2 linked regions of the Stegostoma tigrinum genome follow. The protein of the gene in region 1 purifies or fractionates together with the protein of each later gene. This does not show direct contact. Links are inferred from orthologs where the notes say so. Each region holds a gene or a part of one and is shown on either strand. Other genes may lie near its edges.

The links.
Region 2: the proteins of rbm19 (region 1) and F-box/WD repeat-containing protein 11 purify together in Homo sapiens (affinity purification with mass spectrometry; 3 studies listed by BioGRID and IntAct, with this or other methods). This does not show direct contact. The link is inferred for Stegostoma tigrinum from reciprocal best matches to the Homo sapiens genes RBM19 and FBXW11.

The regions. Positions count from the first base shown.
Region 1 is NC_081379.1:31,370,928-31,387,893, reverse strand, and holds the start of rbm19 (probable RNA-binding protein 19), read left to right. Parts: upstream 1-8,598; 5' UTR 8,599-8,732; coding exon 8,733-8,768; intron 8,769-15,816; coding exon 15,817-15,999; intron 16,000-16,966. UniProt on the Homo sapiens protein: Plays a role in embryo pre-implantation development.
Region 2 is NC_081366.1:65,877,031-65,893,939, reverse strand, and holds the start of F-box/WD repeat-containing protein 11, read right to left. Parts: upstream 6,793-16,909; 5' UTR 6,723-6,792; coding exon 6,666-6,722; intron 6,465-6,665; exon of another isoform or gene 6,460-6,464; coding exon of another isoform or gene 6,445-6,459; intron 1-6,444.

The sequences.
Region 1 (16,966 bases):
TCACACTTTAAATATGACTGGAACACCTGCCCATTATTCCTGCCCTTAAAATCTTGTTACTTATCCGATTTCCAATAATGTTCCTTCAAGACTATGAGCTTCAACTTTAGATAAGTCTCATGTAGAACTTTCCCAAATGTTTTCTGGAAACCAACATAAATAATAGTCATAGACACACGCTATTCAATAGCTCAGTCAGCTCTTCAATGAAATCAAACAGGCTCTTTTGGTATGACCCACATTGGCCCTCTCATGATGAGCAGAACATTTTCAAGATATTCAATTACTGTGGGCAGAATTTTCCCATTTTTTGACAAAGTTTTTCATTGAGTGAGACTCATGTGCTCAGTTCCCCATGGCCCGTGTTAACTTTTCTCACACAATCATCTGCCCTTCTTCCCGGTAATTATACAACTTGTTTTCACCGATTTGGGGAATCTAGTGGCAGGAGAGGTAGATGTTCTTACTGCTGTTAGGACTTTCAAAGCACACACTGTTACTGTCATATTTAAATTTCAGTTCCACATCACTTCTCATGCTGCAAGCCATGAGGTGGTCTTAACACTCGAATGCTCCAACATTATAACCATGGACACGATCCAGAAATGCAAGTTAGTGCCTCGGTTCACTGATAGCTGCTACATTGTACGGTGGAAGGAAGTCTTGCATTTTTTTTCCTGAAAATTGGCAAAGAAGGCCACACCAACAGTCCTAGCCAGCCTAGGCTGAGATAGCAGCCTGGGCCAGTGCATGGTGCCAGGTAAATTAATCTGCGCTTTGCAAAGGTAAATACAACCATCTTCTCTCTGCTCTCTCTTGCTCACAGGCCACCACTGACTCTAACTCTTCTACTGCACAGTCATCTCACTAAACATATGGGCTACAATTCTCACTACTGTACATGTAATGTCCATTCAATGGCTTTGACCCACTCATCCTCCCAAAATACTAACCCTTCCGGCCCTCTGTCATGGGAACACCTTGCCCTACGTTCTACGTCTAATGGCTCCTCCATCCACAGTCATCATACTAGGTCTCTCTCTTTGTCTCATGTTGCCTGTCTCTGAGAGACATTACATACATGGGCAAAGATACAGCAGATCTCTATAAAACCACAATTAATTTATTAAGTACCTAAATGAATAACACACACTTTTAGCTACTAGAGATATCCTCAATCACTGTCTTTCACTACTCCGATTTCTGTGACTAAACCCAAACATTACTACCCGGGAGAGTTCGCAGCTGGCCAGGCTGAAACTCTTCTCAATATCTTCACCACACCTCCTGACATAAGGTACTTCTTGCACAACATTAATCTTCAAAATGTTTGAACAAAGGCATTTCTTCAGGCGCTTTACACACAAGTCTCCATGCCAAGTGTGTGCCTTATTTGGAATTATATGTTCATGTGATCAATCCTGAACGTTTTGTCCAAATGTATGTCTTATCTGGTAAAGACAGCAGTTCCTGATTTCCTGCAGTTTTAACTGTTAGCAGACATGACTGACTCGTAATTCCATTCACATAACAGACTATTGTTAAGCCTCTTATCGGCTCCAGTTATCTCCAGTCTTATCCAACATCTCCACACTTTCGATCGAAAGATTAATATGAGGATCATCTCTGTTGGGTTTTCTACATCCTCCAGGGCAACTCCAGACAGTGGTAAGCATTACATCCTCACAGCATTGTGTTCTCAATAAAGCATTACTTCAGTTGTGTTATCTGAAATGCCACTTAGATCATTGTACTTAACAAAACTATAGTCATAAACATTTTAAAAAGTTACAAATCAGTCTTGTTTCATCACAAATACATTGTTATACACCTTTCACATATTGAAAGATACACATAATATCAAAACAAATGACAAATGAATGAATCCTGTCCTACCTGCCTTTTCTTGATCCTAATATTTCTGAGCTATTACTTATCCTCATCTTTTCCTGGACGGAACTTCAAAATTGTCAACGGATTCAACACTACAATGTAAGTAAAATGTCATACCACCCAGAATACTGCCAACAGATGCCGTGTATCCCTGTTCTACTGCCGTGATCTTGTGCTAGGCAGAGGCTACCGATCTCAACTGATCATGCACCTCTAGTAATAAGATCTCTGATGTTATGGAGTCTGTTGCAACCACCTTCATGGAGAATGGTTCAGCTGTATTTGGGGTTTTTAGGGCAGCAGCACTCACCAAACCCTATTTCAAAACTATTATTGCTTGCAGGTGACCTGGCTTCAATTTCCTTGGGGTATTTTTCTTCAGTAACACCATTAGTGGTGCTGCCTTTAGCAAAACCATCAATATGGTCTCTACAATACCCAATCAAGCCCAACATGATCTTCATCCCTTCACATCTGTAGGGATAGGAGGTCTAGCTGCCATTTCAATTGTTTGTTTGTCTATCTCTCTTTTTCCTGGTGTTAACACCACTCCTAAGTAACTCACTTCCTGCCTCATTATCTGAGCCTTGTTTGGATTCACTTTTAACCCAAACTCCTTTAATAATTGCAATAGCTTACTCAGGAGCTGGTAATGCTCCTGTTTGGTTCCCGTTGGCAAAAGCAAACCATCAACATACTATTTCAGGCAGTCTTGCCTAGAAAAACCCACAACTCATTGCTTAAGCCTTGATGAAGTATTAATGGAGAGTTGTGAAATCCCATGGCAAAACAGTCCACATATATCGCTTTCCCTTTGAGGTAAATGCAAATTTATACTAATGCTCCTTGGAAAAAGGGATTAATCAAAATCCATTACTTATATCCAGCACCGTAAACCACTGTGCAGATTCATTCTGTTTAATCATGGTTTTGGGGCTAATAGCCACAAGGAACCTATTAAGGGCTTTACCTTATTTAGTCCTCGACAATCAATAGTCAGCCATCAACTCATTCCAGTTACTTTACTAGCCAAATAGGTGAATTATTTGTACAGGTGACTTACCTTAATGCCCCTTGTGCTACCAGACTTTGCACTACCTTTTTGTATATCAGTTTCAGCCTGCTTGGGGAATCCATACTGCTTTCGGGGCTTTGGATCTGAGCCCTGCATACACAGTTCCCCTTGTATCTGTCCACAGTCATCCTTACATTTGGCAAACACTTCCTGGTTTTGCCCAAAAATTCCTTGTACTATCAGGTCCTCACTCATGTCAGCAGGACAGATTCACATTTCTCCCACTGTACACACCTTCCTGCAGGAATTTCAGCAAAAAAAAACTGCTCCTCACTTACTCCTGGCATTTGCCACATCATTCAGTTCACTGAATCAAAGCACAGTGATGCTCTAGCCATATAATCACTTCATGGGATATGCTCTTGATTTGCTGGGAGTTTCATTAATAATATTAGATGCATTATCTCTGCAGTTCCTATTTGTATATTTAAAGGGTTTGTCACTTGTCCTACTTGAGAATGTCCTGTAAGATCACTCAAGATTACCTCTGTTTGTATTTTCCAATCATGATGATTTTCAATAGCTGTGTTCAGGGTGATCCCCCGTGTCCCAAAGGAAAGTGATAGGCCGACCCTCCTACCATACCGTTGACTAAGGGTCTCCCTGTCCACCCCCTTTTGCATCGCACATCCATATAGGAGAGGCCTACTGTCATTGTGTGTTGGAGCACAACCCACTTGTGGCCTCAGTTGGATTGTGGGTAACTTGGAACTGCTCTCGGGGGTCATCCCCAGGCTGACAATTGCGTATACACATGGCCATAGCTCCGAGCTGTTGAACATTATTAGGGGCTGGTATATGTAATGTCGGCTGTTGCGGTTGCACACCTGGCACTGCTGGCTGTTGTCCTTTAGAGATCGGGGTGGGCCTTAGGGGCAACAGACCTTACTTCTGGCCCTCTTTCCAGAGGGGACCCCATTCCCCTGGGTCCTCCTCTCCATATCTGGCCACTTACTCTGCTAGCCTTCCCAAGTTGATGCCACCATCTTCCTCCTCAAAGAGTGGGGTTGCAAATGCAAATATTATCCCTCTTTGCTCAGAAATCTGACTGTATAACCTCTCCATCTGCTTTATATACTTTGTGTGATTGCCCGAGGTCCCTTTTTGCTCCTGTCCTGACTTATGCACTACATTCCCAGCTACATTGTCTCTTTAACTCTTCTGTCTGCATGTGAGCCATTTTAGTTTCCTCTTCATTTTTCTCCTTTTGCCTCATTAATTTCTCACACTGCATTTGATACTGGTTTATATGCATGAGGTCTCCACCTCTCTGGCTTTGTAAATTCCCAACCTTCACAGTCAGTCTCTTCATCTCTTCTTTAAGTTCGGCTACCTTTGGTTGCTATTGCTTTTCTTCCCAATCTTCCAACATACAAACTACTGCTGCAGCTTTCTGCTCTTTCTCAAAGTTCCTTTTCTCTCTGTCATCTTTTGCCATACTCCAGACAGTATCCCCACAGGTTCCAATTTCCATACCAGTCTTAATGGTATACTCACAGTACTTGCCACTCCCCAGCCCCATATTGTTGAAGAAGTCTTCTCCAGTCAGAGTTCCCTGGACCCATCATTCTCTGTTAGCGCTAAGTTTCTTAGTGTGTCTGCTGATCCTTTTGTATTTCTCACTACTAAATTTCGACCTCCTCCTTCCCAGCACCCACTTAGTTTTAGACCTAACGTGAGACAACCGTCCTCTTAATTTCAGGCTCAGGCAGGGTGTCAGCGTAACTTAAAGTTACTTCTTGTCAATTCCCAGAGGTACGCCAAAATTATGTTGCCCGTCTCTGTGAGATAATAATACATACAGAGAAGAAGATACAGCGGAGACACCTAGAACTCTACAAAACTACAATTCATTTATTAGGTATCTAAATGAATAACACACACTTTTAACTACTAGAGATATCTCAATCACTGTCTTTCACTACCCTGATTTCTGTAACGAAACCCAATCATTCTTATCCAGGAGAGTTCGTAGCATGCCGGGCTGAAACTCTGCTCGAAGTAGGGTACTTCTTGCACAACATTAACCTTTGAAGTGTTGTTGAACAAAAGGATTTCCTCAGGCTTTTTATATACGAATCTCTGTGCCAAGTGTGTGCCTTAATCAGAATTATGTGTGCACAAGACCAATTCTGAATGTTTTGTCCAAATGCATGTCTTATCTGGTAGAGACAGCAGTTCCTGACTTCCTGCAGTTTTAACTCTTCGCAGGCCTGACTGACTCAGTATGATTCCATTCACATGGCCAAGCCCACTTTCATCTAGAAGGACGAAAGCATCAGCCATATGGGAACACTGCCACCTCTAAGCTCCCCTCCAAGTCACTCACCATCCTGATTTGGAAATATATCGCCACTCCTTCACTGTCGCTGGCTCAAAATCCTGGAATTCCCTCCCTAATAGCATTGTGGGTCAACCTGCAGCAGGAGGTCTGCAGCGATTCAAGAAGGCAGCTCACCACCACCTTCCAACAGGCACCTAGGGATGGGCAAGAAATGCTGGTCAGTCAGCGGCAGCCACATCCCACAAATGAATAGAGAAAAAAAATTCACATAATAGACCATGGTTCAGCCTCTTATCAATTCTTGTCAGTTCCTGTTATCTTCAGCCTTATCCAATACTTAAAGCAGGAAACATTGGCCCATAACCTGGACTGACGACTCCACTGTGCTGGATTGATTGACGTGTAATTCCTGATTGGTTGTTCCTGAACTATAGGTCTGACCATTGCTAACCCTCTGAACTGCAATCAGATGATCCCGTTCACCGACTATGGCAGTAAACCCTTACTGACCATAGTCACCCTTAACCTCACTAAGGCCAGCTCCTTTGTGACCTTCACATATGGCTGTTTGAAGAGCAGGTAGTGTATTTGCGGAATAAGTTTCTGACAATGTTGTAGTGTGAAATTAATGTAGCATAATGATGTCATTTATATCTAACCCCTTGGCTGTTCATTGATCTGAGCCATGAAAAACTCCTGCCTCTCCCTAAAAGAAATGCAAGTTCCCAAGGTTGATGGCCTCCAAACAAACACAACGTGCGTGACCACTAAGAGCTGAAGCTTAGAGCGATTGGAAGCATCCTGTGTAGATGCATAAGCGTGTGTTCCTGCACACTGAGAGGCCTGGCAGAAGTGATCCATAGCCCCAAACTGAAATCCTAATTGGGATTCTGAGTAGGTATGAAAGTAGGTACAATGCAATGGTGAGGATGTTAGTTTGTTGTTGCCAACTTGCTTGGATGAAGGTTGGAAGAGGGAGATATCCTTCGAACATCCAGGGATACTGTGGCACAGACAGAGCTGGATAAGGCCCAGAGAAACAGGAAGTGAGCTACTTGTCTCTAGGTTACTGATCTGACTTGAGTATTGGTGCCATGTAGCTTGATAGAGCCGGGGGGGGGGGGGGGGGGGGGGCATATTTGGAAGCTGTGTAGAAATAAAGCAGGTTGTGCTAGTAATGACACGTAAATGCATGGAAAAAGGTTTCATAAGGATCTCATTAGCAAGACACGAACTTCACTGTTTAAAACCTAAGGCAGCAGTCTCTCATCTTCCATTCTTAGTACAGTATAAATTTAAAATCAAACATACATTATTATTCATTTTGTCCTTTACTCCACAAATCTTGGCATTACACCCTTGACTGCATATTATCTACCAGTGCCTTGAAGTCTGGTTTATAGTTTGAGACTGCTAGTCATATACAGTCCATGAAATAGTAACTGTGAGGCAGGCATGATTCATGGACTTTTGGGGCACAAAATAGAGCAGGACATAGAAAAAACATGCAAGAAAGGCAAGGTTACAGTGATCATGGGGGATTTCATTATGCAGGAGGCTGAGAAAATCAGGTTTGCAGTGGATTGTAAGAAAAGGAATTTGTGGAATGTCTATAATAGGGCTTTTTGGAGCAACTTGTGGTGGACCCCACTAAGGAACAGACAATTCTGGATTTAGTGTTGTGCAATGAGGCAGACTTGATAAGGGAGCTTAAGGTAAAGGAACCCTTAGGAGGCAGTGACCATAATATGATACAATTTACTCTGCAATTTGAGGGGGAGAAAATGGAATTAGATGTAATGGTATTACATTGAATAAAGACAACTACAGAAGAATGATGGAAGAGCTGACCAGAACTGACTGGGAGAGGAGCCTAGCAGGAAAGACAGTTATGAGGAACATTTGAAGGCTCTGGGCCTATACTCGATGGAGTTTAGAAGGATGAAGGGGGAATCTAATTGAAACTTACAGAATACTAAACGGCCGAGTCATAGTACATGTTGGGAGGATGCTTCCATTGGCAGGAGAGACTGGGGCCTGAGGCTACAGACTTAGAGTAAAGGGAAGACAGTTTGCAACGAAAATAAAGAGAAACGTCTTCTCCAGAGCATGGTGATTCTATAGAATTCATTGCCACAGAAGGCTGTGGAGGCAAGTCATTGAGTACATTTAAGACAGATACAGATAGGTTCTTGATTGTCAAGGGGATCAAGGGTTTTGGGAGAAAGCAGGAGGATGGGGTTGAGAAATGCATCAGCCATGATTGAATGGTAGTGCAGCTCAATGGGCCAAATTGCCTAATTTCTGTTCCTATGGCTTAAGGACTTGATTATATTTGATTGGAGGAACATTGTCTCACAGATGTACATGGAGCCAAAGTAAGCTTCAACATTACAAGCATAGGATATTAGGAACTGGTATTTTACTCTGTTTACCAGGCCCCAAAAATCGCTGTCCTTTGATCTGTCTTTCAACTCAATATTGTTTTGCACAATAACTAGCTTGGTGTCAACTCTAGTGCTTTGTAAATCAAACATCTGATGGAATTTGGTAGCCAACCTACTAATGTCTATTTGAAGGAATAGATTTGAAACAAAATGTTTCCAGGATTTGTGCTAGTCATTGCATTGTCCGTGTGGAAATAACTTTATGTGGCCTTTTACCCCATAAATCATCCATGGCTTTTGTTTTAGGCAAGTATAGAGTCATTGTTCCTTAGGTGTATAAACGGTGTTCTTTTCATTTTAAAAAAATCATATTGTATGGATTTTGGAATTATTCATCGACTTACACGCATGGTTTAATTTACAGTTTTGGTTTAATCTTCATTAAGTCAAATTTACACGAATCAATAAATAACCTCTTGATTTGCCTTCCCTGTCAATCACCACACCAACTTGATCACGTTATGGCAACTAGATAAGCATTCACACTCAGTGAGACTGTTAACTAAATTTAACTTTGTTTTAGGTTGTTAACTAAATCTGGCTTATTACTGAGCTTAAGACAACATTTAGCCGGTCTGGCAGCATTTGTGAAGAGATCTAATGAAGACATTATCTTGGACTCTGCGCTGATGCTGCCAGAACTGCTGAGCTTCTCCAGTACTTTGTGTTTTTATTTCAGATTTCTGGCACCATTTTGCTTCAATGTAACGTTCCCTCATTTGGTTCCAGGGCAGTATTCTGCTGGAAACCCATCCAGAAAACACCCCGCTCACACGCTTTGGAATCACTGCTCCTGTAGGAGCGAGTCAGCTCTTTGCCCGTTTTGAAGTGAAGATTGCGCCCGGAGAATTTAGTCCGCCGCTGCTTGCCGTCGTGCCCCCGCAAGGGATTCTGGGAGCAGGCAATCGCGTGTTGGGCCCAGAATCCCGGACTCGCGGCGAGTGTGACCGTTACAGGGAGCCCGTGGCCAAGGACGGGAGAGGGCGGGAGGGGTGACAGCGCTAGGACCCGGGGAGGGAAAGCGGGCTGCGAGATGTCCCGGCTCATTGTGAAGAACCTGCCGAGCGGGGTAAGTCCAAGAGGCCGGGTGGGGGGAGCGTGCTGGAGGGGTATCTCGTGTCCACTTTGTTAACCCCCCCCCCCCTTCCTCTGTCCGAATCCCCGATCCCAACAACAACAACAACAACGTGGAGGAGCAGAGATAGCTCTGTACGCTGTCATGTTGTGGCATCTCTTCCACACACGGCGTGCTGTTGGAACGCGATTAGGTTCCCCTGCTCCACCTTTAATCCGGCCAGGGACTGTGGCAGTAAAATGTGAGGCTGGATGAACACAGCAGGCCCAGCAGCATCTCAGGAGCACTGTGGCAGTCCGTCTCCAACACAGGTCCTCAACTTGCCCAGCAGGTTCTGCAGAAGGATCGCTGGCCCCGTAACGTTAACCCTGCTTTCTTGTGCAGTGATGCTGTCGGACTTGTTGCAGATTTGTTTTTGTTTCGGTTTGCTGTGCTTTCTCCCCGATTTGTTGTAAATATGCTGCTGTCCTCATTCAAGCAAGCCTTCTGATACCTGGACTCGTAACTCTTAACTCTGCCTTCTCTCCACAAGTGATAATGGGAACTGCAGATGCTGGAGAATCCAAGATAACAAAGTGTGGAGCTGGATGAACACAGCAGGCCAAGCAGCATCTCAGGAGCACAAAAGCTGACGTTTCGGGCCTAGACCCTTCATCAGAGAGGGGGATGGGGAGAGGGTTCTGGAATAAATAGGGAGAGAGAGGGAGGCGGACCAACCTCCGGATACAACGCATCATCCTCCGACACTTCCGCCATCTACAATCCGACCCCACCACCCAAGACATTTTTCCATCCCCACCCTTGTCTGCTTTCCGGAGAGACCACTCTCTCCATGACTCCCTTGTTCGCTCCACACTGCCCTCCAAGCCCACCACACCCAGCACCTTCCCCTGCAACCGCAGGAAGTGCTACACTTGCCCCCACGCCTCCTTCCTCACCACTATTCCAGGCCCCAAGATAACTTTCCATATTAAGCAGAGGTTCACCTGCACATCTGCCAATGTGGTATACTGTATTCATTGTACCCGGTGTGGCTTCCTCTACATTGAGGAAACCAAGCGGAGGCTTGGAGACCGCTTTGCAGAACACCTCCGCTCGGTTCGCAATAAACAACTGGACCTCCCAGTCGCGAACCATTTCAACTCCCCCTCCCATTCTTTAGATGACATGTCCATCATGGGCCTCCTGCAGTGCCACAATGATGCCACCCGAAGGGTGCAGGAACAGCAACTCATATTCTGCTTGGGAACCCTGCAGCCCAATGGTATCAATGTGGACTTCACCAACTTCAAAATCTCCCCTTCCCCCACCACATCCCAAAACCAGCCCAGTTCGTCCCCTCCCCCCACTGCACCACAAAACCAGCCCACCTCTCCCCCCCCCACACTGCATCCCAAAACCAGCCCAGCCTGTCTCTGCCTCCCTAACCTGTTCTTCCTCTCACCCATCCCTTCCTCCCACCCCAAGCCGCACCTCCATTTCCTAGCTACTAATCTCATCCCACCTCCTTGACCTGTCTGTCTTCCTTGGACGGACCTATCCCCTCCCTACCTCCCCACCTGTACTCTCCTCTCCCCCATCTTCTTTACTCTCCATCTTCGGTCCGCCTCCCCCTCTCCCCCTATTTATTCCAGAACCCTCACCCCATCCCCTTCTCTGATAAAGGATCTAGGCCCGAAACATCAGCTTTTGTGCTCCTGAGATGCTGCCTGACCTGCTGTGTTCATCCAGCTTCACACTTTATTATCTTCTCTCCACAGATGTTGCCTGACCTGCTGAGTTTCTCCAGCAATTCAAAGTTACAAGTCTTCTGGTTACCCCTGTATTCTGCCTTTGAATCCTTTTCCAGTGCTGTTGCAGAATGTCTAAACCAGGCTGCATTCCCCGGATTAAACTTTATATCCATAAGGATTGACTTTTCATAAGTTATGAATAAGATATCTTGGTCCTGAAAGATAATGAAGTATAATTTATTGTATAATCAATAATATAGTTATTCAATCATTTGTTCTGCTCTGAATGAACTAAATGTCTGAATAATTGCTATGTATGCTTTCTAGCATACTATCTTGGGTCAGATACCACTGCTATTATTAAGGTCTGAGTGCTTCTCAGTATATTTTCGTAAGTAATGTGTGTCATAAAGACAGATCTTCTGATGCAGTAGTAGTGCCCCTACTTCTGAGCCAGAAGTCTATATATAATCTGGAGTGTTTCTGCTTACTGACTCCTGTGCACGAGTAACTAACTGAATGCACAGCTCTGATTCCAGTTGCATTGAACATGGAGTGACCCAGTACAACTTCCAGTCCAGACTTGTAATGTCATGTAACTGTCTTAAATGCTCGCCTGGTCTGGAATTTATGCTTTAATACAGCATCTCCCTTTTCCCTTTAAAGAATGGGACTGCTTTTCCAAACCTGTATAGGAATGGGCATAGATACATTGTCACTACACATTCAGGTTAGCCTTGTTGGATGGATGACATGACTAGATTTAGTTCTCATGCAGTTATTATAACCTGGCTTATGTTATCTCCCATCACATTATCTATTGTAAAGCATGATTGTTGGCTGGCATGATATTTTCACCATCCAAATTGTTATCCTGTTTGATACGTGGTTTGTTGTATGCAGTTTGAATATGTTGCTTGTCTCTTGGTAGGATTGGACTATTTCTTGTTAAAATGCCATGTGACCTTGGTGATGTTCTGAGAACCCATGCGTCCATATGAAAGTCTTATCTTTTGCTGTGTGCTCGTTCATATTGGGATAACTGTCTGCATTTTCATTGATCATGTTCTTGTTCCGTTTTGGTTGGGGGGGGTGAAATTTTGAGAGAGAGGAATTGTGTGAATTTGCCTTCCAACTGTTAGAGCTATCAGTGTGGGTAACTTGCTTCCTTGGGTAAATTGTTTCCTTGGGTAAAATATATTCTTGGTATGGTCATCTGAAAATTTTGGCAAAGTGCCAAAATGCCGTGGACAATCATAGATTTTTCTGTGTGCAGTGCATTCTGCAAGACTGTTTGGCTGAGGGTAGTGAAGAGAAGAGGTAGATGATGGACAAGTCATTTCCAGCACTTGTAAGGATGCACTGGTGAAATGCGGATTGCTGTCAGACACAATTTGTTTATGAACACTGAGCATGCTGAATATCACAGTCAATGTGTAAAAATCATTGCGCTGGTATCATCTTTTGTCATATAAAATTCGGTCAAATATTCATTTAACAGAATGTAAAAGTGTCTTTGGACATCTAAAATATTTGACAGGCAGGCTTACACCATGGCATATAGGGAATTTTACATGGGATGATAGGTTCTCTCTATAGTTGGGGTTAATAATGTTGGTATATTTCACTCAACTTGATTAGTTGATCAGTCTTTATTAATGGTGGCCCACTAAATGAATTTATGCATCATTCACTTAGTTGTTTTTGTGTGCTCATGTGATGTTTTGTATAGTTTTGCGTGTCTTGACATTATTTGAATTGCTGCTTATTATTGTTAAAAATTATATTCATGGAGGGTCCTAATTTATCTCTATCACCAGAATGAACCTTTTCCCCTAAGAACTTGTTGGATGGGTTCAGGCCCACCTGGTGCTGATGAAGTTGCAGCTCGATCATCATCTGATTATAGCTTGCCGAATCTGTTTTGCTTGGTTATGACCAAAATGATTGGAATTGCTGTTGAGGGAATGTTCTAGCATAGATTCGATAGTATTCACTTGTATGTCAAAAGGAATATCTGTGTTCTTAGACGGACTTGGAAGGTCAGCTAAGAGTACCAAGCTAGTCATTTGGAAGTCTGGTTTGTGTTGTAGTTCAAAATTGGTCTGTGACAAGTAATCACTGAAGCTGTACTTCATTTTGACAGGTAATTTCTAACAGTTTGTGGTTGGCGTGAACAACAAAATACTTATTCAGTAGTTGTCTGTGAAACTGTCATATTCCAAAAAACTAGAACAAGAGTTTCTCTTTCACTGCTGAAGTAATTTGCCTGAGCTGATGTTAAAACATTGAAAACCTACTACATTTGGTTCCAATCCCGTGATAGATATGCTCTGGTACCTTTATTGGATATATCTACTTCTGATGTGGTAAATATTGAAGGAACATAATACTGAAGAACACTTTTGAGAGATTGAAAAATGGACTAGTGGTCTTCCTGTCACGTGTGGTAAGTTTTTGCCGAGAAGGTCTCGAAGAGGAGATATGGTTGCAAAATTTGGAATAACGGTGAATCAAAATTGAAGAAACTGAGATCCCATTGTAAATCATCTTTGTCTTGTGGTGTGAAGATGTTCTGTATATCTTCAATTTTGGCGGCAACATTCTAATGCCATTTGATAAGTAGATTGAACTGAAGAAATCAACTTTGTTTATGCATATTTTATATTTTATGTACTTTTAGAAAAAGTACTAATTTCTTGCCAGTGTCATGAGCTGAAGGACATTTATATCATTTGCATGTTTAGTTTTTCTGAGGATTGCAGAGTGTTCTGTGATAAAGTGAAAACTTGGTGGGTTCTTGGTGATATTATTCACATAACCTGGTTGAGGGTAATCTGAGGAAATGATGTCTAGTGAGAGATGTTCTTTAAAAGTTTTCAGTCCCTGTGACTTTGGTGAAAGATTTTAAAAAATCATAGATTCCCTACAGTGTGGAACCAGACCATTCAGTTCATCAAGTCCATACTGACCCTCTTGAACAGCATCCCACCCCCCCTCTGCTATCCTTGTAACCCAGGATTTTCGATGGCTAATTCACCTGGCCTGCACATCTTTGGGCACAATGGGCAATTCAGTGTGTTCAATCCATCTAGCCTGTACATCTTTGGACTGTGGGAGGCAACCTGAGCACCTAGAGAAAACCCATGCAGAGGTGGGGAGAATGTGCAAACTCCATAGACAGTTGCCTGAGAGTGGAATCGAACCCAGGCCCCTGGTGCTGTGAGGCAGCGGTGTTAACCACTGAGCCACTGTGCTGTCCCTGTGTCTGAGCTAATGTCCCTTTGTGTTGATTTGGAAATGTAATTGGCGCTGATATTTATTTGATTTGGATCTGAACATATCTCTACAATGCTCATTGTTCAGAGCACAAGAAATTAAGGTTATGTCAGCCAGTATGATGCTCAACCTCTGGATAATGTCATTTTGTATAATGGAGTCCACTTCCAGTTTGAACTTTAATTGACTGTGACTGCTGCATTTAAAGGGACGATAGATGATGTGTTAGGCATTATCTTTGTTGCTAATAATGTTAAACTGTCCGGGGAAAGGTTAGTCAGGTGATCGTGATGGAGGGACTCAATGTTGTGGTTTAGCATCTTTTGTATTGTAATAGACATGTTTATTAGCTCATGGATTGTAATAATACATCAATCTATGCATTCTTGTAGACTAATCATAGTCCTGTTGTGAATCTGGCAAAAAAAGATTCAGGTGTCCCTTGTAAGGAATGTTGATGATACTGTTCCTTCTTTGACTCTTCATACGCTGCTGTGGAGCTTTGTGTTGCACAGTTCAGTCCAACCTCTTCTTGTAGAACATATCTTTTATATGTCACAAAATGTCTGACAATGTTTTGGAGGGCAAGACAAGTCACATCTCCTAAAGGAGTACTGAGTTTGATAGCTACAGTAGGTGCTATAAAGTCAAGCATGTTGCTGACTTACAGCAATTGCTTTGAATATGCGTTCTTCTTCTAGCTCTGTGCCCATGGCATATTCTTTTGGTTTGTCTGGAAGGATTGTACATCTTGAAATTGACTCAATCTTTTAAGTTGTCTTTCTTTAATAGTGATTTGTTGATCAGGAAAATAAAGATTTATTCCTTCTTGAACTGAAATTCTGACAAAATGTCAGTGGTGTGTCAGTTTATCCCCACGTATTTACTATCTATCTTTCTTTCCCTGCTTTGTTTAGTTGGCTTCCGGCTGTTTTGTTCTCTTGTTGGTGCTTTAAGGTTACCTGCTTTCTATTTCTTTCTTTTGAAAGAAATATTTGAGCAGTGCTTGTATGTGGCATTTTGCTTTGTCTTTTGTGGGAAATAAAATGGTGCTGTTGACTGGCAACCACATGTAGGTAAGTCCTCAACAATATACGTAATTTTTTTTTCAATGCTTTAGGCTGCATGTTGTTTTGGGGTGCATTGCCAATTTGGGAATGTCCTGAGCCTCCTGCAAACTGCCATTATTTATATTCGACAAACCTTGGCCTCCTGTTTTTTTTCTAAAGTGAGTCAATGTACTCAGAACTGTTTCTCCATTGTGGTTGATGTGCTTCAGTACAGCCTTTAGTTTGGTGGCTGTTGTAGACTGGTGAATGATCAGTCATGACTATTTGGGGAAAGAAGTCTTCACAACTGTCAATGCTGTTGTCATCAGCTAGCTGCACTACTGTTGCTGTTAGCTGCCACCAGTTCTAATGCCCACTTGCTGTCACCATGTCACACTTTGATGGGTTAAGCATCACTGCCAGTAAGATATGATCTGAGTGTTTCTCGGTTTATTAACTCAAACAAATATCACAATGACTGGGATAGTAAGAACTGCCAATGCTGGAGTCAGAGATAACACAGCGTGGAGCTGGAGGAATGCAGCAGGCCAGGCAGCATTAGAAGAGCAGGAAAGCTGACGTTTCAGGTCAGGACACTTCTTCAGCTCCACACTGTGTGCTCACTAAGACTGGATTCCTGTTGAGGCAGATGTCTTGCCGTTTATTAAAAACATTTATTTACATTGCTATATCATTGTACATTCTGATTTCGGTGCTTACTGACCTGTTACTTTTACATATACTGAACTGATTGGATGCACTACTCTGACTTCATTGCACTGAGCATGGAGTGATTGAAAGCAATACTGGACTGTCAATTATCGTAATGTCACCTAACCCCCAAGTTTACCTATCTGAGAGGTCTGGCATCTACACAATAATACAGCAATTTCTGTGTGAAATAATCTAGGACTAGAGTCATGTCCAAAGACATGTCTTAACTTGACTTCTGGTTGTTTGTGTTACTTTTTCATTTCCCAGATGAAGGATGAACGTTTTAAGACGCTATTTGGTGCTTTTGGAACATTAACAGACTGCGCATTGAAGTTCACAAAAGATGGAAAATTTCGAAAGTTTGGATTTGTTGGCTTCAAAACAGAAGAGGAAGCACAAGTTGCTTTAAAACACTTCAATAAGAGCTACATAGACACTTCCAGAATTATTGTAAGTATTGTACATAATTGCTTTATTTCAAGGCATATATTCTTTCACAAGTTTATGTCCACACATTGTATATATGTTGTCATAATGTTTGTTGTGCATCCCCCAAGACGACCTTATCTTTGAAGATGCTTATGACGTAGTTTTGCTGAGTACTTTGGTATACCTTTGGAAGGGATATTTTGAAATTCATACAAATCATGGGATGCAATCTTGATGATTAGTTGTTAGGTGACAACAGATTTCAACGTTTTTCATGTCATAGTTAACTAGTTTATACAATATACTTACTACTATGCAGTTAGTCTTAACATATTTGCTGAAATTACTTTGGGCACTGATAGAGGATTATTTGTTTACCCTTGAATCAGTTTTGGATTTTAGACTGCTCAGTCTTTTTCCTCAGGTTTGATACTCTTTGTGTTCCTTGCCTCCATTTGTATTAGTCTTCATCAGCAATAATATTGAAACAAAAGCAACATGTTTTGGTGCAGCATTGTGACAACAGTGATGCACTTTATCCATGCTTGTTTGTACACTTGCGTCAGCTTAAAAAAATTTGCTCCCTCCAATGAGATGATTTCCACCAGCGTACCCTGAAAATTTGGCTGTATTTGTCTCTTGCATTTAAATTGCGTGACACTAGTGTAATATGAGTGTTGTCAGCCCAAGCCTGTATGTTGTCCAGGTCTTGTTGTTTATGGGCTTCAGTAGTATCTAAGACATTTAAAGTACAATATACTTGAAGAAGAGGGTCTAAAAGCTCTTTCACACGTAGACAAACAGGAGGCTGGAAGAACACCTGGACACTGGAAGGACTCCTGAAGAACGGTAATACCTCAAACGGTGACTGCTCCTTTCCTCCAGATGCTGCCTAGCCTTGTGCATTCTTCCAGCCTCCTGTTTGTCTACCTTGGATTCCAGCATCTGCAGATTTTTTTTTTGTCTTGGCCGTTTCAAATGTGCCTGT
Region 2 (16,909 bases), on another chromosome or scaffold:
TTGCATTTGACAAAGTGGTCATTAATTCCACTTCATCGATATCAACTCTCCATAATAACATCTCCTTCAACCCATCTTCATTAACCTTCTTCATACACTGATTAACTACCCAAATCTTTGTCCAAAGTTATAACAACTTATATTTTCCTGACAGATTTACCAAGTCTAAACAGAGAAAAATAAATTTCGAACATAGAACAGTACAGCACAGAACAGGCCCTTCAGCCCACAATGTTGTGCCGACCATTGATCCTCATGTATGCACCCTCAAATTTCTGGGACCATATACATGTCCAGCAGTCTCTTAAATGACCCCAATGACCTTGCTTCCACAACTGCTGCTGGCAACGCATTCCATGCTCTCACAACTCTCGGCGTAAAGAACCTGCCTCTGACATCCCCTCTATACTTTCCACCAACCAGCTTAAAACTATGAACCCTCGTGCTAGCCATTTCTGCCCTGGGAAATAGTCTCTGGCTATCAACTCTATCTATGCCTCTCATTATCTTGTATACCTCAATTAGGTCCCCTCTCCTCCTCCTTTTCTCCAATGAAAAGAGACCGAGCTCAGTCAACCTCTCTTCATAAGATAAGCCCTCCAGTCCAGGCAGCATCCTGGTAAACCTCCTCTGAACCCTCTCCAAAGCATCCACATCTTTCCTATAATAGGGCGCCCAGAACTGGACGCAGTATTCCAAGTGCGGTCTAACCAAAGTTTTATAGAGCTGCAACAAGATCTCACGACTCTTAAACTCAATCCCCCTGTTAATGAAAGCCAAAACACCATATGCTTTCTTAACAACCCTGTCCACTTGGGTGGCCATTTTAAGGGATCTATGTATCTGCACACCAAGATCCCTCTGTTCCTCCACGCTGCCAAGAATCCTATCCTTAATCCTGTACTCAGCTTTCAAATTCGACCTTCCAAAATGCATCACCTCGCATTTATCCAGGTTGAACTCCATCTGCCACCTCTCAGCCCATCTCTGCATCCTGTCAATGTCCCGCTGCAGCCTACAACAGCCCTCAACACTGTCAACGACACCTCCGACCTTTGTGTCGTCTGCAAACTTGCTGACCCATCCTTCAATCCCCTCATCCAAGTCATTAATAAAAATTACAAATAGTAGAGGCCAAAGGACAGAGCCCTGTGGAACCCCACTCACCACTGACTTCCAGGCAGAATATTTTCCTTCTACTACCACTCGCTGTCTTCTGTTGGCCAGCCAATTCTGTATCCAAGCAGCTAAGTTCCCCTGTATCCCATTCCTCCTGACCTTCTGAATGAGCCTACCATGGGGAACCTTATCAAATGCCTTACTGAAGTCCATATACACCACATCCACAGCTCGACCCTCATCAACGTTTCTAGTCACATCCTCAAAAAACTCGATAAGGTTTGTAAGGCATGACCTACCCCTCACAAAGCCGTGTTGACTGTATTTGATCAAGCCATGCTCTTCCAGATGGTCATAAGTCTTATCCCTCAGAATCCTTTCTAACACCTTGCAGACGACAGACGTGAGACTTACCGGTCTATAATTGCCGGGGATTTCCCTATTTCCTTTCTTGAAGACAGGAATTACATTTGCCTCTCTCCAGTCCTCAGGTACGACTCCAGTGGACAGCGAGGATGCAATGATCTTCGCAAGTGGCGAAGCAATTGCATTTCTCGCTTCCCAAAGCAGCCGAGGACAAATCTGGTCCGGGCCTGGCGACTTGTCAATCTTAATGTTTGACAAAATTTTCAGCACATCAGCTTCCTCTATCTCTATCCATTCCAGCATGCACACCTGCTCTTCAAAGGTTTCATTCACTACAAAGTTGGTTTCTTTCGTAAAGACAGAAGCAAAAAACTCATTTTGGGCTTCCCCTACCTCCTCAGGCTCCACACACAAGTTCCCTATGCTATCCCTGATCGGCCCTACTCTTTCTTTGACCATTCTCTTATTCCTCACGTAAGTGTAAAATGCCTTTGTGTTTTCCCGGATTCCTTCTGCCAAGCCTTTCTCGTGCCCCCTCCTGGCTCTCCTCAGACCATTTTTGAGCTCCTTCCTTGCCTGCATGTAATCCTCTCTAGCTGAACTTGACCCTAGCTTCCTCCACCTTATGTAAGCTACCTTCTTCCTTTTCACTAGAAGCTCCACCGCTCTCGTCATCCAAGGTTCCTTTATCTTACCCCTTCTTGCCTGTCTCAGAGGGACATATTTACTCATCACTCCCAACAACTGTTCCTTAAACAGTCTCCACATGTCTATAGTTCCCTTACCATGGAACAACTGCTCCCAGTCCATGCTTCCTAACTCATGTCTAATCGCATCATAGTTTCCTCTTCCCCAATTAAATATCCTCCCATTTTGCCTAATCCTCTCCTTCTCCATAGCTATGTAGAATGTGAGGCAGTTATGGTCACTATCACCAAAATGCTCTCCCACCACAAGATCTGATACCTGCCCCGGCTCGTTTCCGAGCACCAAGTCTAGAATGGCCTCTCCCCTCGTCGGCCTGTCAACGTACTGCGTTAGGAAACCCTCCTGAACACACCTTACAAAAACAGCTCCATTCAAATCTTCTGCTCGAAGGAGGTTCCAATCAATATTAGGAAAGTTAAAGTCACCCATTACAACAACCCTACTGCGTGCACACTTTTTCAAAATCTGTCGACCTATGCTTTCTTCAATCTCCCTGCTGCTATTGGGGGGGCCTGTAGTAAACCCCTAACGAGGTGACTACTCCCTTGCTGTTCCTAATTTCCACCCATACTGACTCAGTAGGCAGATCTTCCTCGACAATGGAAGCTTCTGAAATCATGAGTTGAACTTCCCCACAAAGAATTGTATGATTTTTTCATGACCACTGGATATCTCAAAGTGCTTTATAGCGCATGAAATGCTCTAAGTGTGATCACTGTTAAAACCAATGTTTAATTCTTGTATTCTAGACTGTAATACCAGGGTTGGTTTAACTCAGTTGGTTGAATGGTTGATTTGCGATTCAGAATAACACCAGAGAGAGTTCAATTCCTGCATCGGATAAAGTGTGGGCTCACCTTCTCAATTTTATGCACCCCCCCACCGTGAGGTGTAGTAACCCACTGGTTAAACATCTTTCTAATGAAAGAGCAGCCCCTAATGTCTGCTAAGACTACGGCGACTTTACCTTTTAGACTAGAGCATACCAAGTCTGAACAGATAAATTAAGCCCAGCAACATGACATGAACAGATTCTTTGACGCCAATCTTTGAAGATGCTAGTTCACTCGTGGCAAGTAACGTGGAATCTACCAATCAAGCGTGCTGCATGTAAAGCCTGACACTCAGGCCCAGTCCTCATCATTTTCCCACAAGACACCAAGATAATTCACCAATCCCTCAATGTTTCAGTCTTGCCTCCAACTGCATCACCAAGTATCAAAATCTTCATCTGCCCTCTGGATATGCAAATCAATTTTAGGAACAAGCATTCGCAGTTTGACATTTGGTTTACAAACTCCCATTCCATGATAAATCAACTAGCTCTGCATCTGCAGAGAAACACATAGGGCATGTTCCCAGGAATTTCCAACCAAAGCCAGCTTCCCTTTCCCAGCAGCACAGACAGGGAGACATGCACTGTTCATATCCACAAAGCCATGTGACAAACAACACATTCAACATGTGCCAGAGAGCTGGTCTACAATCAGATCCACAAGTACAATAAGTTTTTTTTATTAACAGCATCAATAGTGCCAGTTGATCAAATATTCTACATGATCAACAGGTATGTCTAACCACAGTAAACCTTGACCAAGTGAAGTTTCTGGAATAGCAACATCCTCAAAAACCTATACCAAACGCCTTCTAAAACTAAACATAAAACATAGTAAGTGACAAATGCAACGCAGGGGGTACACATAATTTTTATCCTTTATTTATAGCATTAATACTCAAACATCACAATACAGTGCAATTGGAGGTATATATATTTTTGCCAGTTTATCACGAGTGCTAGTTATGACAAAGTTTGCAGTGTTGCAAAAGAACCCTGAAGAACGTCTGCACGTACCACTGCGGACTTCACACTGCTGCAACTCCTAGCAGAGAGAACAACCAATAATTTTCCCCCCAAAATCCAAAGACATACAGGTTAAGAGGATTGGTCATACTAAAAATTGCCCTGTAGTGTCCAGCGATGTGCAGGTTAGGTGGGTTAGCCATGATAAAAATGTGGCATTATGGAGAGGGGAGAAGCTCGGTGTGATGCTCAGGGAAGTTCAACTCATGATCTCTGTCAAAAGGAGAAGTTAGATTTTTTTTCTCTGTTTACATAGGTGCAATTACATCAGATACTTCTTAGACCTGATGTAATTCAAATGTATTCGCTGTGATCATGTAGAACTACAATCAATTGCATGCAAAATCCCACAAACAGCAATAAAGCCTGGACACCTGAAGAACTTCCCTCATTCATAAAAAGCCTGGGGACCTTGTGCATCCATATTAAAGGACTGATGGGACCAAGGTTTAATATTGCACTCAAGACGACACCTTCAACAGTTATGCACTGCAGTATCAAAATAGGCTACATGTTCAAACCTCTAGAGAAATTTCCATACATTGCCTTCTGACTTAAGTCGGAAAGACTGTGTGGATTTACAAACTGTTTGTGAAGCAACTGTAGAGAGGAAAGCACAAGGACAGGTACAGCTGGTTGTTTTCAGCATGTATATGTAAATTATTGCTGGGTTTTCAAATGTTGTTGTTGTGAGACAACATGTAATAAGAAAAGATGTCAAAGAGGCACTCAGCACTGACACTTCTCACAATAACAATCCAGTCATGCGTCTTTTATAAGCTTATATGGTTTCAACCAGCAATTTGGTCATGTTTCAATTGTTCCTTTTATTATATGTCTCCTTCTGTAGTGGTGCATCTCAAGCACCATGAGCTGCATTGTTCTTTATTAAATTGCTGACACTTGTCAATCACAACCAGCAATTAAACTACTCAACAGCTTGATGCTCTCAGTTTAATTTACTGATGCCCGCACAAGAGGGTATAGTTCCACAGATATCTACCTCAAGATACTTGGTTGTTAAATTCAATCCCATCCCACCTAGGTATCCACAGCTACTGTCAGAAACCACAGCGGGGAGAAACCCCTTTAAATTCCTCCCCACTTCTTGCAGAGGGACAAGAGAGTTAATTACATTGTTCAATGCATCAGTCTAACTCCAACAAGCAACTACACTGCAATCCAATCTGTATAGCTAAGCATCAAACCCTACTTATTCACAGAAAGACACAGGTCAGGCAAGTCCCTTTCCAAGGAAACACTGCCAGTGTGTCTGCATATGAACAACTTCTCACTTTTCTTCACAAGCCCACCCAAAACCACCTTGAAAAAGAGAGCTCAGATCCTTGCTACACTGGACGAAGTCAGCAGTGGCTGACACTTTAAACAAAAGTACCAATTCCAGCATTATACAAGGGGCAAAATAAGAGGCATTTTTTGAAGTTGAGTCGTCACTTCTAAAATACAATGCCAGTCAGTGAAGTGTCTTGCTGACCCATTGCATGTCTTCAAGGAGGACCGGATCACTCCCTAACTGGCCCAAAAATCACATCATGGGTGGCAAATGTAACATGCTGCCCCACAGATGTCCACGACTGGCTTCAATTACTCAAGGAATTGAGTCTTTTCCCTCTTGAGGGAAGTGTTAGGTTTTGATTATCCAGCCATACTGAGATATGAGGCAGGTTCGATAGAAATATTGCTGTTTCTCTGACCATTCCTGAGGAATAATCCCAAAGACAATGCACCTTATAAAAATTGATGAATTTGGTTCAATACAAGACATTAGCACTGAAAATGGAAGACACACTCAAAAGTAAACAGTTTGCTCCCTTCACACCCTAGCAAGTTATCCCAAAACTGCTCTATTGCAAAATTTACCAAAACTGACTCTCTCAGCCAGTTTGCTAACCCATATAAATGTGAAGTTGTGGTTACACAAAACTTCCAACGAAACTGAACGCACAGAACATCCTAACCACCGCCCAATAGTGAAACTGAAGCGCACAGCAATTCCTGTACTACCCACGCAATTCTGTCATGGTGCTCACCTCCATCCTGCAAGTCAACCCTCTACCAAACTACCTCGCTCTCCTTCTATACTCCAAGCCCAACTGTCCCTTCCTACACTCCTTGCATCCGCCCATTCTTGTTGCCCAGAACCATTAATTTATTTCAAACCCTAGTGCCTCCCCTCAGCTTCCAGATCATCCTGCTCCCTACGCTGGGGTTGACTCATTCACAAACACTTCTTTTTACCTTCCATCTCCTGCCTGCATGTTTCTCTAAGCCTCCTGTCCATCCCATTTTCTAAACCCGACCCCCTTGACGTGCTCCTGCCCATCTTCAATCCGATTTTTTCTCCTGGCCGCCACCAAACTCTGTTCTACCTCCCTCCGGTACATTCATCCTCCTCGCCCGCAGATTCTGGGACGTTTTCCCCCCTCCTGCAGTTCGTGCTGGGAGCCGCAGGGAGAGGCGATGATCTGATGGAAACGCATTCGGCTCTCCGGCAGGACGTGCGGCCTGTGCCGGAGCCCTTGGCAGGACCACAGCCCCCCTCCTCCACCCAGCCCCGAGATCTCAAGCCCGCTCCCCGAGATTCACTCACCATCAGCTCAATACTTTTATCTTCGATCACTGAATCCGCCTCCATCGTGAACCACATACAAGGAGAATGCAGAGCTCTGGCTTCACCCCCCCGCCCCCCCCGCACTCGGCCCGGTCCAAACCCAAAGCCTGACGACAAGCGTCTGACGAAATCACGCCGCGCCCCTTGGTTTGTAACGTCATCCGTATCTGACGTCACGCGTTCCACGCGACCCCCTTCAATCGTCAGGAAACGCCACTGCAGGCCCCGCCCACTGACTCGGAACAAATTACTACAGAGGCTGGAGCTTGTGTTGAGAATGACAAAGTTCTGCAGGTCACAGCGGGTCAGGCAGCAGCTATGGAGGGAGATGCAGGCTGAAGCTTCCAGTCTAGACGATTCGTCATTAAAGCTGAAGTGAAGGGTGGCAGCATTTGTGCAACAGTGGGGAGAGGGCTGTGGGTGTGGAAAAGATGTTGATAGCCCAGATTAAGTGATTGGAATTCACGAATGGCTGAACAATGGTGTGTCTAACCGCCAGACTTGAAAGGCAAAACTGTCCCACAGGGGTGGCCAGAGGCGAGAGAGGTCATGTTGACAAAGAATGTAACAAGTAAAGCTAAACAAAACGGAAGAAATTGGAGTTGGTTCACAATTTGAAGGTGTTGGACTCAATACCAAGCCCAGAAGGCTGTAAATTGCCTAGTTTGAAGATGAGATGTTGTTCCTCTGGTTTGCATTGATTCACTGGAGCACTACAGCATGCTGAGGACAGAAAAGTATGCATGCAAACAGGACATGGGAAGGTGGTGATCATGTTTGCTTACAGACTGGAAATATTCTGCGAAGTGGTCACGCAGAATGCATTTGGTTTCTCCAATGTAAAGTGGGTGTTAATACACAATGCAATACACAAGATTGTAGCAGGTACTGTTGAAACGCTGCTTCACCTGGAAAAACTGTTTAGGATCTTGGATGGTGAGCAGGTAGTATGCGAAGGGGCAAGTGTGGCACCTTGTGCAGTTACACGGGAAGGTGCCTTTTGAAGGGTGTGTGGTGTTGGTGGTAGGAATGGACTAAGGTCTTCGCCAGTCTCTCCACTGCAGACTGGGACTGATTTGTCGAACACCTCCAGTCTGTACACAGTGCCTGCATGCTCGCTTGTCTACCCTCAGGACACTACAGTGTTCCGATGAATCGCAGCACAAACTGGAGGAACGACATCTCATCCTCAGACGAGGCACATTACAGGCTTCCGGACTTAATATTGAGTTCAAAGCCTTAAAATTGTGAGCCAGTTTCCGTTTTTTCCCTTGTAGCTTTACTTTTTACAATCGCCCATTTTTTCCATTTTGTTTATCTTGTCACATTCTGTCACCATGTTCTCTCTCCTCTTCCCCCACCCAAGTGGGACTGGCTTCTCTTTCAACTCGGGCAGTGAGACACACTATTGTTCTGCCTTTCTCACATTTCGATCATTCTCGACTAGCACTCTACACCCACCATCCCCACACCCTCCACCCTTCGCTACAGCTCTGATGAAGAGTCATCTGGACTGGAAACATTAGCTTGGATGCCGCCTGGACCAGTTGTGATCCCGAGTCTTTGGTTGTTTCCGCCCACTGACTGATCACTTCTCCATCAGGACCCGCCCCCTCACTGTTGACGTCCATTGCAGTACCACGCCCCCATATGTGGCCGCGCCCACAAATGCCCCGCCTTACATAATGGGCGGGGTTTCAGTAACACCGTCCACGGAAGGATGATTTCCCCATTAGCTCAACCCTCTCCCTTGCCGTGTCCAACAAAAGGTCACGAACTTTCATTACGTCACGCCCCCACTGTCGAAACCGAAACCTTCAGTCAACCTCCGCCCATACAATCAACCACGCCTATTCCGAGGGGCGGGGCAGCGGGGGGGGGCGGGAAGGTGAGGACTTTCGATGGGATACGAGATTGGGAATGAGAAAGATGAGGCTGGGATGGTGAGGGAATGGGACAGGGTGTAACCGGAGCTCAGAAAGGGACCGGTTGGGGAGGGAGGGTGAGGAGTGGGAATGTGGGAGAGACGGGGTTGGGTTGGCAAGGAGTTAGGGAGGTGTGCGGAGTGACGGGGTTGGGTTGACAAGGGGTAAGGGAGGTGTGCGGAGTGGAAAGGATGGGTAGGGCATAGGAAAGGGAAAAAGGATGGGAAAGGAAAAGGGATGAGAAGGGGAAGAGATGAGGTGCGGGTGTGGAATGGGGATAGGATGGGATAGGGAAGGGGATGGGGAGGGGATTGGCATAGGGGTGGGGATGGTGAGGGGAAGGGAATTGGCATAGGGGTGGGAATGGTGAGGGGAAGGGGTAGCGATGGGGATGGGAGGGGTTGGGGATGGGATGGGGAAGGGATGGGGAGGAACTGGGGATGGGGAAGAGATGGGGATGTGGAAGGGATGGAGAAAAGATGGGGATGGGGAAGGAATGCAAAGGGGATGGAGAAGGGATGGGATGGGGAGGGAATGGGGATGGGAAGGATAGGGATGTGGATGATGATGGGAAGGGGTGGGCGAAGGGGTTGGGGTACGGTGGGGTGGGGAAGGGGTGGAGATGGGATGGGGTGGGGATAGGGAGGGTATGGGATGGGATTGGGGAGGGAATGGGGATGGGCAGGGGATGGGGATGGGGAAGAGATGGGGATCTGGAAGGGATGGAGAGAAGATGGGGATTGGGGAGAGGATGGGGAAGGAATGTGGAGGGGAAGGGGATGCAGAAGGGAAAGGATGGGGAGGGGATAGGGGAGGGATGGGGATGGGAAGGATAGAGATGTGGATGATGATGGAAAGGGGATGGGGAAGGGGTGAGCAAAGGGGTTGGGGTGCAGATGGAGAAGGGGTGGAGATGGGGTGGGGATGGGGAGGGTATTGGGATAGAGGTGGGAGTGGGTGTGGGGAGAGGGGTGAGGAGGGGAAGGGGTTGGGATAGGGAGGGGATTGGGATGGGGAAGGGGATGGGGATGAGGAAGAGATGGGGATCTGGAAGGGATGGAGAGAAGATGAGGTTGTGGAAGGGATGGGGAGAGGATGGGGATTGGGAGGGGATGGAATGGAGATGGGGTAGGGATGCAGATAGGGGAGGGGATGGGGTGGTGATGGGGAGTGGATGGGGAACAGGGTAGGGGTGAGGATGGGGATTGGGAGGGGATGGAATGGAGATGGGGTGGGGATGCAGATAGGGGAGGGGATAGGGTGGTGTTGGGGAGGTGATTGGCCGGGGGGGGTGGAATGGGGATGGTGAAGCGATGGGGATTGGAGGGGCTGGGGGTGGGATGGGGAAGGGGATGGGGAGGGACTGGGGATGAGGAAGAGATGGGGATCTGGAAGGGATGGAGAGAAGATGAGGATGTGGAAGGGATGGGGATTGGGAGGGGATGGAATGGAGATGGGGAAGGGATGGATAGGGGATGGGTGTAGGGGAGGGGATGGGATGAGGATGGCAAGTGGATGGGGATTGGGAGGGGATGGAATGGAGATGGGGTGGGGATGGGGTGGCGAATGGGTTAGGGGAGGGGATGGGGGTAGGGCAAGGGATGGGATGGGGAATGGGATACGGGAAGCGATGGGGAGCAGATGGGAAAGGGATGGGCATGGGGAGGAGGATGGGGAAGGGGATATGGATGAGGGGATGGGATAGAGATGGGGAAGGAGATAGGGATGGGTGAGGGGAGGGGTTGGGAATGGTGAGGAGGGAATGGGAGGGATTGGGGATGGCGGGTATTGAGGATGGGGAGGGGATGGGAATGGGGAAAGGATGGAGTGGGGGAAGGGATGAAGGAGGGGATGGGAAGGGAATGGGGAAGGGATGGATAGGGGATAAGAAAGGGGAATGGATGGGTAGGGGATAGGAAAGGAGGAGGGATCGTGCAAGAGGAGGCAATAGGAAAGGGACCGGGATAGTGAGAGGTCAAGAAGGGGGCCAGGAAAGGGAAAGAGATGGTGAGGGGTCAGGAAGTGGATCAGGAAAGGGAAGGGACGGCGAGGGGTCGGGAAGAGGGCAGGGCTGGTGAGGGATCGAGAAGTTGGCTGGGAAAAGGGAAGCATTGTGGAGAGAGCCAGGAAGGAATGGGGAGGGGTTGGGAAGGAGGCCAGGAATGGGGAAGGGATGGGGTGAATTTGAGGAGTTTGGGAATGGGGGCAGATTTGTGTTGGGATGAGAATGGGGCGGTGATGAGGAGAGGGTGGGAGCGGTTGCGAGTGAAGAAGACATGAGTCAAAGTTGTGGGGGAGCTGGAGAGTTTGGGGACAGTGACAGATTGTGATTGGGAAGAGATGGGGAAAGGTTTAAAAGGGTTTGGGAATTGGGGGTGGAGCTAGGTTGGGGAGAGGTTGCCTTTGAGGCTGGAGCATCCCTAATTGGAAAATGAGATGTTGTCTTTGAGTTTGTGCTAAGGCTTGTTAGTGCTCTGCAGCAGGCCCAAGACAGAAATGTTGCCATGGGAACATGGCAATGTGTAAAAGCAGCAGGCAACAGGAAGTTCAGAATCATTTTTGCAGACCAAGTGTCACAGTTCTACGAAGTAATCACCCAGCCTGTGTCTACATCTCCCCAATTTAGACGAGCCCACATTATCAGCAGTGGATACAGTAGACTAGATTGAGTGAAGTGCAGATAAGCTGCTGCTTCATCTAGGAGGCATGTCAGGGATCTTGGAGGGGAAGGAAAGAGGAGGAGGTAAATGGGCAGGTGTGACACATTTTGCGATTGCATGGGAAGATGTGTGGAAATGTTTGGAGTAGAGGAGGACTTGACCAGAGTATCCCAAAGGGAATGATCCTGCTGAACGCTGACAAGAGAGGGGAGGGTTTTGATTGTGACATCCCAGTGGAGGTGACAGAAGTGGCGGTTCACATCCTTTGAATGTGGAGACTGATGGGATGGTAAGTAAGGACCAAGGAGACCCTGTCATTGTGGAAACCTAATAAGTTTTGCAGCAATTTCTGTTTGTCATGGGAGACAAGGGAATGGGTGAGGGCAGAAATGTAGGCGGTGTATCAAACACGGCTAAGGGCTGTCTGAACTACGGTAGTGGCGAATCCTCGGTTGAGGAGAAGGGTGGATGTATCTGAGGCTCCACCCCCTGCAGAAGGTCTTTTCTCTTTTCCACACAGCCAACCCATTTTCACCTAGTTATGGTCTCCGTTATCAGCTTTTCTTTCTCCCTGACTCACCATTATCCATCTCTTTTTCTGCCTGTCCTCTCCCTCTTAGCTCCATCTCAACCTACTATATACTCCTAACAACCCCTATCCCCAATCTTCAGCAAGGGTTACTGGGCTCAAAATGGTATCACAGCTTTCTCTCCATAGCTGCTGCCAGACCTGCTGAGTTTCCCAGCAACTTCTGTTTTCATTTCAGCTTTGCAGCAGTTCTTTGTTTTATTTTTGTCTTTTAAGCTGGAACAGCATTTAATGCACATCCTTCATTACCCTTGAGAAGGTTTGTTTCCACACTGTAGGGATTCTATGATGATTCTATGAAGTTACTGAAGATTAAAATGCAAGTGCAGAAAGCTGTCAGGAATGCTAGTGGAATGTTAGCCTTTAACATGAAAGGATTTGAGTCCAGTAGAAATGAAGTTTTGCTTCAATTGTGAATAAGATTGGTTAGACTACACCTAGAGTACAGTGTGCAGTTTTGATCTCCTGAGCTCAGGAAAAATATTATTGCCACAGAGGTAGTGCAACAAAATTTCTTCAGACTTGTTCCTGGGATAGTGGGAACATCCAGTGAAGGGAGATTCAGTAAACTGGGCCTGTATTCTCCAAACTTTCGAAGAATGACAGGTGATTTGAAGAATGACAAAATACTTAAAGGGATAGACAGGATAGGTACAGATAAATGTTTCCCTAATGGTGGAACCTAAAACCAGATACACTATAAATAAAGGAGATGCCATTTACGTCCGAGATGAGGAGTAAAGTGTTGTAAAGTAAACTTAAAGGGTTGTAAACCTTTGGAATTCTGTAACAGAGGCCTGTGAAGGTTTAGCCTTTGAGTCTGTTTCAGATAGAGGATTGATAGATTTGATTACCAGTGGTGTACAGGTTTATGAGGATGTGGTGGATTTAAGGCATTGAAGTGTTCAATCAGGTATTATCTTAATGACTGACAGAGCAAGTTTCATAGAACTATAGAAACTATACAGTGTAGAAGGTGGCCATTTAGCCCATTTTGTCCATTCCAACTCAAAGCCGCTCTTTCTAATCTCATCTTCCTGAACACAGCCCATAGCCCTACGGTGTTATGGCCTTTAAGGTGCAGATCCAAGTACTTTCTAAGAGTTTTGGGGCTCAATCCCCACCATCAGTTCAGACAATGAATTCCAGTCATCTATGACTCTCTGTGTAAAAATATTTTTCTTCACATTCTCACTAATCCTTCTGCCACTTAGCTTGAACCTATGGCTCCTGATTTTTGAACTCACTGCCAAAGGAATTTGTCTATTCTATCCCTCACTATTTTGTATACTTCAATCATGTCACCCCTCAGCTGCCTTTGGTCCAAGGAAAACAGTCCAAACTTCTCCTCATACCTACAATTCTCCAGCCATGGTACCATTCTAGTAAGTTTTCTCTACACTTTCTCCACAGCAGTTGTGCCCTTCTTGTAATGTAGTGACCAAAACTGCACATAATACTCCAGCTGTAGCCTCACCAGTGTCTTATACAATTCCATTATTATTATCCTACTTGTAGCTCTATCAATGAATGAGGGCATTCCACATGCCTTCTTTACAACCTGATTTACCTGTACTGTTACATATAGGGACCTGTGCACTGGAAAACCAAGATCACTCACTTCATCTACCCATCTCATGATATTCCTGTTTATTATATATTCCCTTTTATTGTTTGACCTCACTAAATGCATTACCTCACACTTATTAGAGTTGAACTCCATCTGCCATGTTCTTGCCCACTCCACCAACTGATCTGTATCATTTTGGAGCGTACAGCTATCCTCTACACTCTTCATTACACAGCCAATTTGTCATACGTAAATTTCCGAAATGTGCCCCCTATTTTCACATACAAATTGTTAATGCATGTTTGGGGCTGTATGATGGCTTAGTGGTTATCACTGCTGCCTCACAGTGCCAGGGACCCACGCTTAATTCCACCCTCAGGTGACTGTCTATGTGGAGTTTGCACATTTTTCCCGTGTGTGTATGGGTTTCCTCCAGGTGCTCCGGTTTCCTCCCACAGTCCAAAGATGTGCAGGTTCGGTGGATTGGCCATGCTAAATTGCCCATAGTGTTCAGGGATGTGTAGCTTAGGTGTGTTATAGGGAGGTGGGTCTGGCTGAGATGGTCAGTGTGGACTTGTTGGGCCAAAGGGCCTGTTTCTGCACTGTAGGGATTTTATGATCTAAATTTTTTTAAAAAAGCAGGGGTCCCAAATCTGAGCCCTGTGGTAAATCACTTGAAATTGTTCTTAATTCACAAGGGCAGCCATGGACCAATGTGTTTTGTTTCCTGTTACTAAGCCAACTTTGAATCTACTTCAACACACTACCTTATATCCTTTAGGCTTTCACTGTTTTGACCAGTGTACCATGTGGGACTTTGTCCAATGCTTTACTAATATCCAAGTATACAAATCCATTGCACTACCCTCATCAATCCTCCCTGTCACTTCCTCAAAGAATTCAATCAGTCTTGTAAGGCATGACCTTCCCTTAACAAAGCTCTGCCTTTCTATGTCAAGTTCATCAGGTCCCTCAGGATTGATTCTAACAGATTTCTCACCACCCAAGTAAAACTAACTGACCTGTAATTGTTTGGCATTTCCTTTGTACCCTTTTTATAAAACAGAACCAAATTTGTACTCCTCTAGTCCTCCTGCACTTCACCTGTGTCGAGGGAAGATTGGAAAAATAATTCTCAGAACATTTGCTATTTCCTCCCTGACATCTTTCAATATCCAATGGAACAATCCATCCTGTCCTGACGATTTAGCGACTTTCAAGGTTTCCAACTCCTAACATTTCCTCTCGTGTTATGATTATTTTGTTCAATATTTCACACTGCCCCTCTTGGATTACTGTACCCTAATCACCCCTTTTCTTTTTGAATATGGAGACAAAAAAATCATTTAAATTTCTTCCCAAGTTCTCAGCATCTTAACACAAGTGCCCTTCCTCATCTACGACAGTTCCCAATTTTCCCGTAACTATTCTTTTGCTCTTTATGTACTGTTCAAACATTTTCAGGTTTTCTTTTAGCTTAATTGCTGATTTTTTTTTCATGTCCTGTCTTCTGATTTCTCTTTTTTTTAAACTTAATTCCTCACTTTCTCTAGTCTGAGGCTATCTGCAGTGTTGAGTTTTTTTTGTGACTATCACAAGCTTGCTTTCTCTGTTTAATGTTGCTTGTATTTTTCTAGACAACCATGGAGGGTCTAGATTTGGCAGTATCATTCTTATTTTGGGGGTTTTGTTTCCTTTGTACCTCAAGGATCTCACTAATTAGTGCCTCCCACTGGTTTACCACAAATTTATTTTTTAGCAGTCTTGTCCGATCACCTCAGCCAAATCACTTAAATTTATAAACTTGTCTTCTAAGACTTTTACTCCTGATTTATCTGTACTTTTCAATAATAATACTAAATCTAACCAAATTGTGATCACTATCCCTGACATGGTCAACCTCTGTTATTTCGCACCACTTGCCCACCTTCATTCCCCAAAACTAATTCCAGAATTGCATCTTGTCTTTGGACTGGTCACATGTCGTTTAAAGGAAGTTCCTGGTCACATTGCATGAATGTTTTTACCCTTCATGCCCCTTATGTTCTTTGAAACCCAGCTGATACTGGGATAATTAAAGTCCCCTACTATTATTGCCTCTTACATGCAGAAATTTGTTTCCATGCATGTTCTTCTATTTCCCTGATTTTGGGGGGTCCGTAGTATACTCTTGGCAGTGTAAAAGTCTAAAAAGAGGAAACGTCCCTCTTTTTATTTCTGAGCTCAATTCATAAAGCCTCATTCAGTATATCATCCCTTCTCACAACTATGATTAATGCTTCAACTTAGACTGCTACCCCACCCCTTTTTGTCATCCACTGTATCCTACCTTAAAACTGTATATCACTGGATATTGTCTTCCATTGGTCTACCATAAATTTATTATTTAGCTGTTCTGTCCAGTGCACCTCAGCCAATTACTTAAGTTTTATAAAAAATTGTCTTCCCTCATTAAAGACTTTTACTCCTTATTGCTGTCCTTTTCCACAATACACTAAATCCAACCAAATTGTGGTCACTATTTCCGACACAGTCACCCACTGTCACCTCATCCACTTGCCCATCTTCATTGCCTAAAATTTAATCTAGAATTGCATCTCTTATCATTGGGCTTGTCATGCATCTTGTTTTTTTTTAAAATGTCCTGGACAGAGTACATGAATGTTTCACCCTTAGTACCCCTTATATTGTTTGAAATTTGTCTACACACATGTCTTTCTATCTCCCAATAGTGTGACTACCCTTTTTTGCATTTCTGGACTCAACCATAAAGCCATATTTGTTAACTTTTCACAACTATGATTAATTCTTTAACCGATAACCCTACCATTCCCATCCTTTATTTTGTCTCCCACTCTATCCTCTGAAAATTCCATATTCAGAGCTACCAGTTTTGCCCCTTTAACTAGGTTTGTCATAGCAATGACATCATGCTGCCATTGTCTACCTGACCCTTTACTTCATCTGCTTTGTTTGTAATACTCCTTGCATTGAAGTATAAACAGCTCAATCCTGTCAATTTTCTTTGCTGAATGCATTTTAAGTTTATTTTGTCTTTGTGTCCTGACTATATCACAAACCAGTGCTCTACTTTCTTCTTCCCAATCTGAATCTGACTCATCTAAACCGTCACTTTGATTCCCATCCCTCTACCATAACATTTTACAGCCTCTCCAATGGAACTGGCAAATGTCCCCATGAGATTTGTCCCAGCTCTGTTCAAATGCAACCTGTCAGGTTTGTAGAGATCCAACATTCCTCAGAAACCATCTCAATGCCTCAAGAATCTAACCCCCCTCCCCGTGATAACATTTATACAGCCACATTCATCTGAGTTGTCCTCTTATGCCTGCTCTCACTAGCATGTGACACTGGGAGTAATCCTGAAAGACTACTTTTGAAGTCCTCTATCTCCTAACTTCCTATATTCAGCTTTCAGATCCTAATCCCTAAGGCACCAACTGCATAGGTTAACAATA